2 linked regions of the Schizosaccharomyces pombe genome follow. The gene in region 2 interacts genetically with the main gene of each other region. Each region holds a gene or a part of one and is shown on either strand. Other genes may lie near its edges.

Region 1 (3,987 bases), on a different chromosome or scaffold from region 2:
GCCTATTGAAACAGCTTGAGAGTCCGGAATCTACCTTGCGCAGATTAGCTGCTTGGACGATCGCAACTGCCGTTCAAAATAATCCTAAATCTCAACAAGCGCTTATAGAAAATGATGGATTGAAGATTCTCTTCGGCGCCCTAAAAAAAGAGGATTCGGATGAAACAAAAAATAAAGTCCTTTATGCAATAACTAGTGAGCTTAAACTTAACGAAGCTGGAATTGCTTTATTAGATAAAATCCCAAACTCTTGGGAAATGCTGATTGAAATCTTGGAGCTTAAACACTCGGTTATGACAAAACGAGTTATCTTTTTTTTCTATGCATTACTTATTCAAGAAGATAAATCAAAACAAATTATTCTTCAAAAGGCACACGAATTTCAGATTCCAGAAAAAGTTTATCAATTCAGTCTTGAACATTCTGTCGATGAGGATTGTGTTACCAAATCTCTTCATACACTTTATTTATTCCAGAAAAATAAAGTGTCTGTCGCAAATACTAACGAGTTATTAAAGTCGCTCGTACAATTTAAGTCAGAGTTTCCTGAAATTTTCACCGTCGATGAATGGAAAGCATTTCACGAAGCTCTTGAATAAAGGTTGAAAGCTTCGATTACTATTTTTATTATTCATGTGGACTACGGAGCAATATAATGAGATGTTTTATTTCGTTTATGACTGATAAACAATTTTTTGGTTATTTGGAAAGGATACTCTAGTAACTGTGGTACTTAAAAAGTAAGATAATCGTAAATTCATTAAAGTGTACGAGTACTTCTGTAACTTCTATCTGGATTTTCTCTCTCAGTATATCTATCGCTTCTATGAGAACGTTTTTTATATGAATAACTCCTTCCTTGATAGTAATCATCTGAATAACGGTCTGTTCGATGTTGTTTCCGGCGCTCCGAATGGTATTCGCGATACTTAGTTCTGTCTGGATCTCTATCGCGTTTGTTGTAATTTCGTGAATTATAATCTAAATGTTTACTGCTCACTGAAGACTCTCTTGAGAGGTTGTTATCTCGGCTTCTTTTTCTGAATAGTTCTGAACTGGGAGTTAAGTTGTCAATGGAATTTGACTTCTTCTGTACTTCAGTATGTTCGTTTTGTGAATTCAGAGCGGAATTTGATTCTAGAGGCTTAACAGGAAGAAACATAGTCTTTTTTGGATTTTTCCAAATATCCAGCTCAGTAAGTTCGGAATCCACAGGCTTGGCTCCCATACCCAAAAACGTCGGCCTTTGATTAACATCAAAAGCATCTTTAGAAGATAATTGACCATTCCAACCCATTCCTCGAAGCATGGCGGCGCCAAATTCTTCAACCGGAATTTCCGAGTAATCTTTCATATTAGAAGGCTCCGGAAGCTCGTCAATGTCTTTTCTATATGCATCTTTCTCGTTAACAACATTAGTGGTAATCGGCTGTAAGTTGGCAGAATTAGCACTTTTAACATCGTCATTTAAATCATTAAGGACAAGTTGGACTTCTTCAGGAAGAATATCAGTACTTTCTTTATTTGTGGCTATCTTATTTTGAGCCTTTTCATTTGAATTATTTGCCTTCCAGTCCACAATTTCATTATCCGCTGCTGATGAAGAAGCCACCCGAATATTTAGACCATAATTTAAGCCGCTATCTGGCAATTGTGAAGGTTTCTCATGAACTTCTGTTTCTTTTTTTTTAAACCTGGCTTTTCTTTTTTCCATCCAGTTCTCATCACTTGCAATGTGGATTATCTTTGGCGCTCTTTTCTTTTCGTGTATGCGCTGAATAGTTTCATTCTGATAATGAACTCCCTCTTCAGCGCTAAATCCAGTAATAAGTTGAGGACCTTTTAATTTTTTTTCATCTTCATCCTCAGAATCGCTGAATGCTTCTAATACGGCTTTTCGCTTCATCAGAGTTATTATGATAACTCACTTGTTTGCGACTAAGCGTATTACAATGAACAAAAAAAATAAAATGGCAAAAATCGGCCAGATTATAAGTAGGAAGGAAAGTTTAAAATTACAGTGAAAATAGTCTTGAGAATAATCACATTCGTACAATGAGAGTTGTGAAGCTTTTCAGGAATTTTTCGTTGCCCAGACATGGAATAGTGTGTGCTCCCTTTACCTCTTTATTTGGATTACAGAATTCATGCTCATTTCTCCCTTACTTAAAACGCACCTTCAAATAGCAGTAAAAAAATAGCTTTTTTATTTAGTGGCATTTTTTATTAATATAAAAGTATAAACAATTTTGGTTGAAACGAAAGCCTACTGTTAATATCAACCTTTAGTCTCAAATTGCATCTATCCTTGTATAATATTGCATACAACAAGTTTTAAGGTAATCTTTAAAATACGTTAAGAAAAATATGTTTAAGCAAATAGCTTAACTCAATTAGCACCATAGATTTGGTATAGTGCGTTATTATGTATTGTACGGCAGTGAGCAATGTGTTTAATCAAGAACACTCCTTCTTAGTTGGTGAGTAGTTTACTACTTTTAAAGCCATTTGTGATTGAGCCTGGAATGATTGACTTGTTTGCGATAGTTAATAAAGGAGGCATAGTACTTTGGAAAAAAACAAATTCTCTTGTTAATTTGAAATGCCTTCAAGTTTTATTTCACGAAGCTTTCTTAAGTGAGCAAAGAACGGTGAACAACACCGTAACATTTGATCGGTACACCATGCAGTATCAAGAGGCTACACAATATAGCATAGTTTTTGTGGTAAGTTTAATATATTGTGATTTGTGCTTTGACAGAAATTGTCAATTACTATACACCCAAAATGAGGTCCAAAAATTTTTTTGTTTATACTTTATCTTTGATTTTCTATTATTTGTCAAAGTCAAAGCCATACCTTTATCGTGTCATTTGAACTTAATTAACGCGGTTGAATTTTTAGGTTGTGTTTCAAGATTTGAAATGTATGGCATATTCTCAATCACTGCTTAATAGTGCTCATAATATATTTCTGAATCTATTTAAAGAAAAATTAGAAGATCGTCAAGTTCCTAATGAAGCAGAAGTTGAAAAACTGTTCGCTCCCATTTTTAATCGTAAATCAGCACAACTGGAGAATGAAACAGACACGAAATCTTTACCTGTTGAGGCTAATAATGATAACTCAGCAAGAAAGAAAAATGAATATGAAATGAAGAAAAAAGGCGCTCAATCCAAGCAAACAAATGCCCCTAAAAAAGGAAAGAAGCAACTCAGAAAATGGGATGATCAAATAACTGAGGAAGAACAGGCTGCATTGAACTATTCTAGTCAAGCATCTTCTGCTTCCCAAACAGTCGATAATTCCCAACTTTCTTCTATTGTGGGTAATAATAATAAGTTTCAAAAGACTGGTAGTGGTGATGTTATTATAAGTGATTTGGAAATGGATCCCAATCAAACAATTTCCAATAAATCTGCATCTTCTGCGTTTTCCCTTTTCTCCAACTTAATAGGTGGGAAATACTTGAAGGAGGAGGATCTTAGTCCAATTTTAAAGCAAATGCAAGAACATTTAACAAAAAAGAATGTCGCAAATTCTATAGCTCTGGAGCTTTGTGAATCTGTGAAGGCTTCGTTGATAAACAAAAAAGTTGGTTCGTTTGATACTGTGAAAAACACAGTAAACAAGGCCTTTCGGGATAGGCTTACTCAAATACTCACCCCAAGTACATCTTTGGACCTTTTGCATAGTATTCGTTCTGTACGCAAAAACGAAAACCGTCCGTATACCATTTCTCTCATTGGCGTCAATGGTGTTGGAAAATCTACAACATTGGCTAAAATAGCGTATTGGCTTTTATCTAACAACTTTCGAATCTTAGTTGCTGCCTGCGATACTTTTCGCTCGGGTGCAATTGAACAACTCGGAGTACATGTGAAAAATCTCCAAAGTTTGAAGGGTAGCTCCATTGAATTATTTGCACAGGGATATGGTAAAGACTCGAGCTTTGTTGTTAAGAACGCTGTTGAGTATGCCAAGCAA
Region 2 (4,494 bases):
CAAGCCCACTGAATCAAAAACATCGACCACCAAGGACTCCGAGACTGCAAAGGAGGAAGATGACGCATCATCTTCGACCACAAAAGCTGTTGAAGCAACAACTAGCAAGGCTTCCTCAGCGCATACTGATACCCTTGCTACTAGTGCTTCAAATAGCGATAGGGGAGCAAGCACACCCGAAATGGTAGTTAAGGCAGAGAAGCGTGAAGGATCGACTTCTCCAATACCATACTCTTCGTTGTCAATCGCTGAACGAATTAAGCAAGCCCAAAATACCCCGTTCTTAGAATCGAAGGTTTTACCGCAAAACAATGAGACTTCAGACGAAGAGAATGTCGATGTAAAGCCAGCGGCTGGTACGGTGAAGAATGTTATGCAAGCCTTTCTTCAGCCCGCTACTCCTGCCAAAGACACTGCATCAAAGGAACCATCCAAATCATCCCAACAGCCAGTACGCACAAAGCCACGAATTGCTCAGTCACCCTTTCTTGCCCAGGATGCCAAAGAAAATGGTGGCAATGTTGAAGTCTCATCCCCCTTGTCCTTCTCCGCCTCCAAGTCGCCTGCTGCTGTAGACTCCTCCACAAAGACACCCACTGAACAAGTTAATGTTGTATCAAAACAAGCCCCCACCACCTCTTCCACATCGGTGATTTCCCCAGATCCCCTCCAGACCGCTGCACCATCGGCAAATGTGAATGAGGTCATCGCCAGTTTAGAGAGTAAGGTTGTTACTCGACGCACTGGATCAGGTAACAATTATCGAGTGGGGTTACGAAATGTGTCTGGTAGTGAAAGGACAAAGTCGTTAAGCAAGGAATCACCAGTGGAGCCGGAAAAACCTGCACTACCGGATGCTACCTCGAGCTCAACACCAACTACCGAAAACAAAGAATCTTGGACTAACCAAGGCATCAAGTCTAGTCAACAACGTTCGGCAAATGCATCTCCTGCTACTTCCCCTTCTAATCAAGCATCCATCCATGCATCGTTTACGAAAGAATCGAGTACACACTCTTCTCCCTCCTTTACCTTGGAATCCTTGTTTTCTGGTGCTCCACGGGTCGTCGAGTTGACGAGGTTTTCTCAACCCAGCCCTGCTTGCAGCCGTGCTTTGTTGGCACGGTGGAAGGAGGAATACAGAACGTCTATACATTGAGCGAACCCGTCTACGGCCGTGCATGTGTTTGCTTAATGGAACTAGAAGACAAGGATGGGTGGACGGGTCAACCGAATTGCCTTTGCTTATGTTAGATAGAATTCTACCCTAATGTGCGCACGTTGATAGTTAAAGTCGTTTATACTACATTGTAGAAAATGTACATTGACTGCACCAAAACTCGGCTACCGTTCCTAAGTCGATGGTGCTGATTTTTATTTTGTTGTTGTATTGTATGTTCTGCATTCTCCTAATTTATGCTCTGCTTTAATTATTGTTAATTTTTTTTTCCTTAAAAACTTCCTTCCTATATTATTCTATTTCGCACGACATTCATTTTTGAACAACATTCTACCTTTATACGACACTATAGGATCCAATTCTTCTAACGTTGTACTAGTGTTTTATGTTTTTGTGCTTCTCATTTTTATGTTTTGTACATTGTTTTCTAAGTTAGTTATTCTAATGTTGCATTGTACATCTCATTCTTTCCCTATAATTAATTGCCTTGATAATCCTTTTACTTTCTCCTACTTGAGTACTAGCGCAATGCTGTTTACAACTCTACTCGACATTGTTTTTTAACGTTGTACTGTAGCCCACTACATCTGCGGTTTGTTTACAGGACTGTTGTATAACGAGTAGTTATTGTTGCTGTTACATTGCCATAGATTTCAGTAACTTGAGTTTTTCCGCAAGTACCCTTATGAGTGCATTGCTTTTTTTTTGTCCAAGACCTTACCGGCAGTTCCCTGGTAACGAGGCCTGAGGCAAAACCCCTTCTGTCAAAACAGTAGAGTGGAGCAGTAACTGCTTTTAATAGGAGTCTTTGTATCATCCAGATCTGGACTTGTGGTACAGAACATTTGGCAGAAGTTGGTGGTGGTAATAAAACAAGAAGTTTGAAAACAAAAAAAAAAAAAAAAAATGATTTTCGTAAGTCGTTTAAAGAAAAGTGAAAAGTGTTTTTTCTTTATACTGCACTCGTTGGTCAAGTGAATGAACTAACTTTTTCCTGCGCTTAACTATTTACCAATCTCCACTCTTCAAAGTAGCAAGATCCATTCGCGCCATTTTTAGTTGATCCGGTTTGATGGAATAACTGCTTGGCGCTCGTTCATTCGTTCTTTAAGGTTCAAAATGGACATTTTTATTTCAACTCTAATTACGATATCGGCAGTTGGGAGAGGAGGCAAAAGGCCAAATTTTTAGTTTATAAAAAGGAGCATCTCCTTTCATCTATTCTGCAGAAACCAAGGCTTGTATTGTGAGACGTAAAGCGTTCAATTGCAAGGTTTCCCCATTGCTAGTCTCGTTGACAGTCATTCCTTGGCTTTAGAAAAAGAAGTTTGCTTATTTACTTTTTTCACTAATTTTGGAATTCCGTCTTTTTGAGCTACTTGTTTGTTTAGACATTTTAATTCTTTAATTGTTTACAATTTACTGTCTTTTTTCCTTCATAATAGAAACGCATATCGAGGTTTGAATAGGTCGAAATAGAAATATTTTGTTTTGTTAATCGTCCATCATCTCATTTCATTCACATTCCATCGATCGGTGCTATATTCTCTTTATTTATTCAGCTTAATTGCCCGATTTTTTTTTTAAATTATTTCTTACCTTTTTTTTTTTGGTTTGGTAAAAAATGAGCTGTGTTACTAGAGCCCCCATGTCTGTACCCCAGACTGCCCTTCAACCTAATTCCTACGTTAATTTCGACGCTCAACAAACATCTTCTACTCTGCTTCCAGTAGAAGTCATTGACTCGGTCATGCAGTATTTACCTGCACACGACGTTATCCAGTCTAGCTTCGCCAGTTATCCATTGACTTTGATTGCCAACAAGATCATTCGTGCTCGTCTTTCCTTCTTAGACGAATATTCACTTCGCGTTTTTGCAAAGGATGTCTATACCGATTCACCGATTTGCAACTTGTCTGCCCGTCGCGGTTTGTATTCTTTACAATATGATGGTTATTCGGTATTCCACTTGGATCCTAACAATTGCTCCTCTATTTTTCAAATCTCCTTTGAGGACGACGAGGATCTAGCTTCTTTTGAACGATACCCTGGGGAGTTTCTTGCTCCCCATATCAATGTTCGAATTCACGTTACCTTGTCTCGTTCTTCCTGCGATCGTCATCAAGCCGATATATTTTCTTGCTTTCAAGATCCTATTCGTGTCCGCCGGGATTGGCTTGATTCGATAAAACCCGGTCAACCTGAAACACTTTGGTTTGATCAAAACACTCAACATGTCATCGGTCTAATTGTTACAAGAGTTGATGCTGCTCCTGGAAAGTATGATCTTTCTGTTACATCTGTTATTGTTCAAACGGAGTACCTTTTATCTTGCCTCGAGAAAAGAGTACATTAAAAAAGAACTTTTTCCATTCTGCATTGTTTAATATTCTATTATTTAATTCTCATGAGACAATCATGATTGCGTTCCGTTTTCTTTTAATGTTTATTTTCGTTGCTTGACAAGCCTGTGTCGCTCACGACTTCTTTGTTTGACATTTTGTACTTATTATTCTTTTAATTAAAAATTTAATTTACCTGTGATGTATGTTTTGCTGTGTTAATACATCCTGGTTTCTCATTTAATAAATGCGTTTATACATTTTACGCAGTCGACTGGTTTTTTTTTTCAGCGTTGTTTTAATTTCATTCAGCATTTGGCTTCATGTACAAAATTTATTTCTTAACATTTTTTTTCTAATAAACTTTTTTTTGTTGTACTGAAAAGTAAAAACCTACCTTTTTTTAAATTGCTCAATCAATTGAATGTTGTTTTCACGTTTCTCATTTCTACGAATATTTTAGCCTTTGTAAAATCTTTTTAATAGACGCTTAATCTTGTAAATGTGACTAAGTCTATACTACGTTCTTTCGCTCCAGTCAGTCTGCATTGTTTTGAGAGTTAGTGATTTTATGCTGGAATCGACGTGGTTATTTCGCAAATCTTTTAAATATGTAGTGAAAGCAGTATTTGTTTATATTATTGAAGAACTGTAAAATTTAGGTTTGACATTGGTGGTTTTTTGGCTTTACAACTCGTCTGTTAACGGAATTGGGTAGTGTTCAAATAAAATTTAAAATTGGTAGAACTCTGGGATAAGTTTTAGTATTTATGTTTCTATGCAAATAAAGATAAGCTTACTTGTTTCATTTTTTCTTTAAATTCTATATATCTTCATTGTTTTTACATGTCAACCAAGAATACGAATGTTTGGTTCATAAACATACCTCAATACATTGACACCACCACCCGTCACCATGAAATGCGTCGAATGCGGCGCGGAAGTCGATTCTTTATACACATATTATGGAAG

What was found.
Region 1: mutations in pof15 (region 2) and cwf28 together harm fitness more than expected from each alone (negative genetic interaction), as found in Schizosaccharomyces pombe (one large-scale study listed by BioGRID).

Annotation. Positions count from the first base shown.
Region 1 is NC_003423.3:3,990,932-3,994,918, forward strand, and holds cwf28 (splicing factor Cwf28), read right to left. Parts: upstream 2,055-3,987; 5' UTR 1,907-2,054; coding exon 761-1,906; 3' UTR 681-760; downstream 1-680. Other genes in the region: fes1 (Hsp70 nucleotide exchange factor), read left to right, coding at 1-599; signal recognition particle receptor alpha subunit Srp101, read left to right, coding at 2,526-2,726, 2,905-3,987. UniProt on the Schizosaccharomyces pombe protein: Involved in spliceosome maturation and the first step of pre-mRNA splicing.
Region 2 is NC_003424.3:1,888,116-1,892,609, forward strand, and holds pof15 (F-box protein), read left to right. Parts: upstream 1-2,407; 5' UTR 2,408-2,804; coding exon 2,805-3,536; 3' UTR 3,537-3,975; downstream 3,976-4,494. Other genes in the region: SPOM_SPAPB1A10.13 (uncharacterized protein), read left to right, coding at 1-1,159; Arv1-like family protein Arv1, read left to right, coding at 4,439-4,494. UniProt on the Schizosaccharomyces pombe protein: Probable substrate recognition component of a SCF (SKP1-CUL1-F-box protein) E3 ubiquitin-protein ligase complex that mediates the ubiquitination and subsequent proteasomal degradation of target proteins.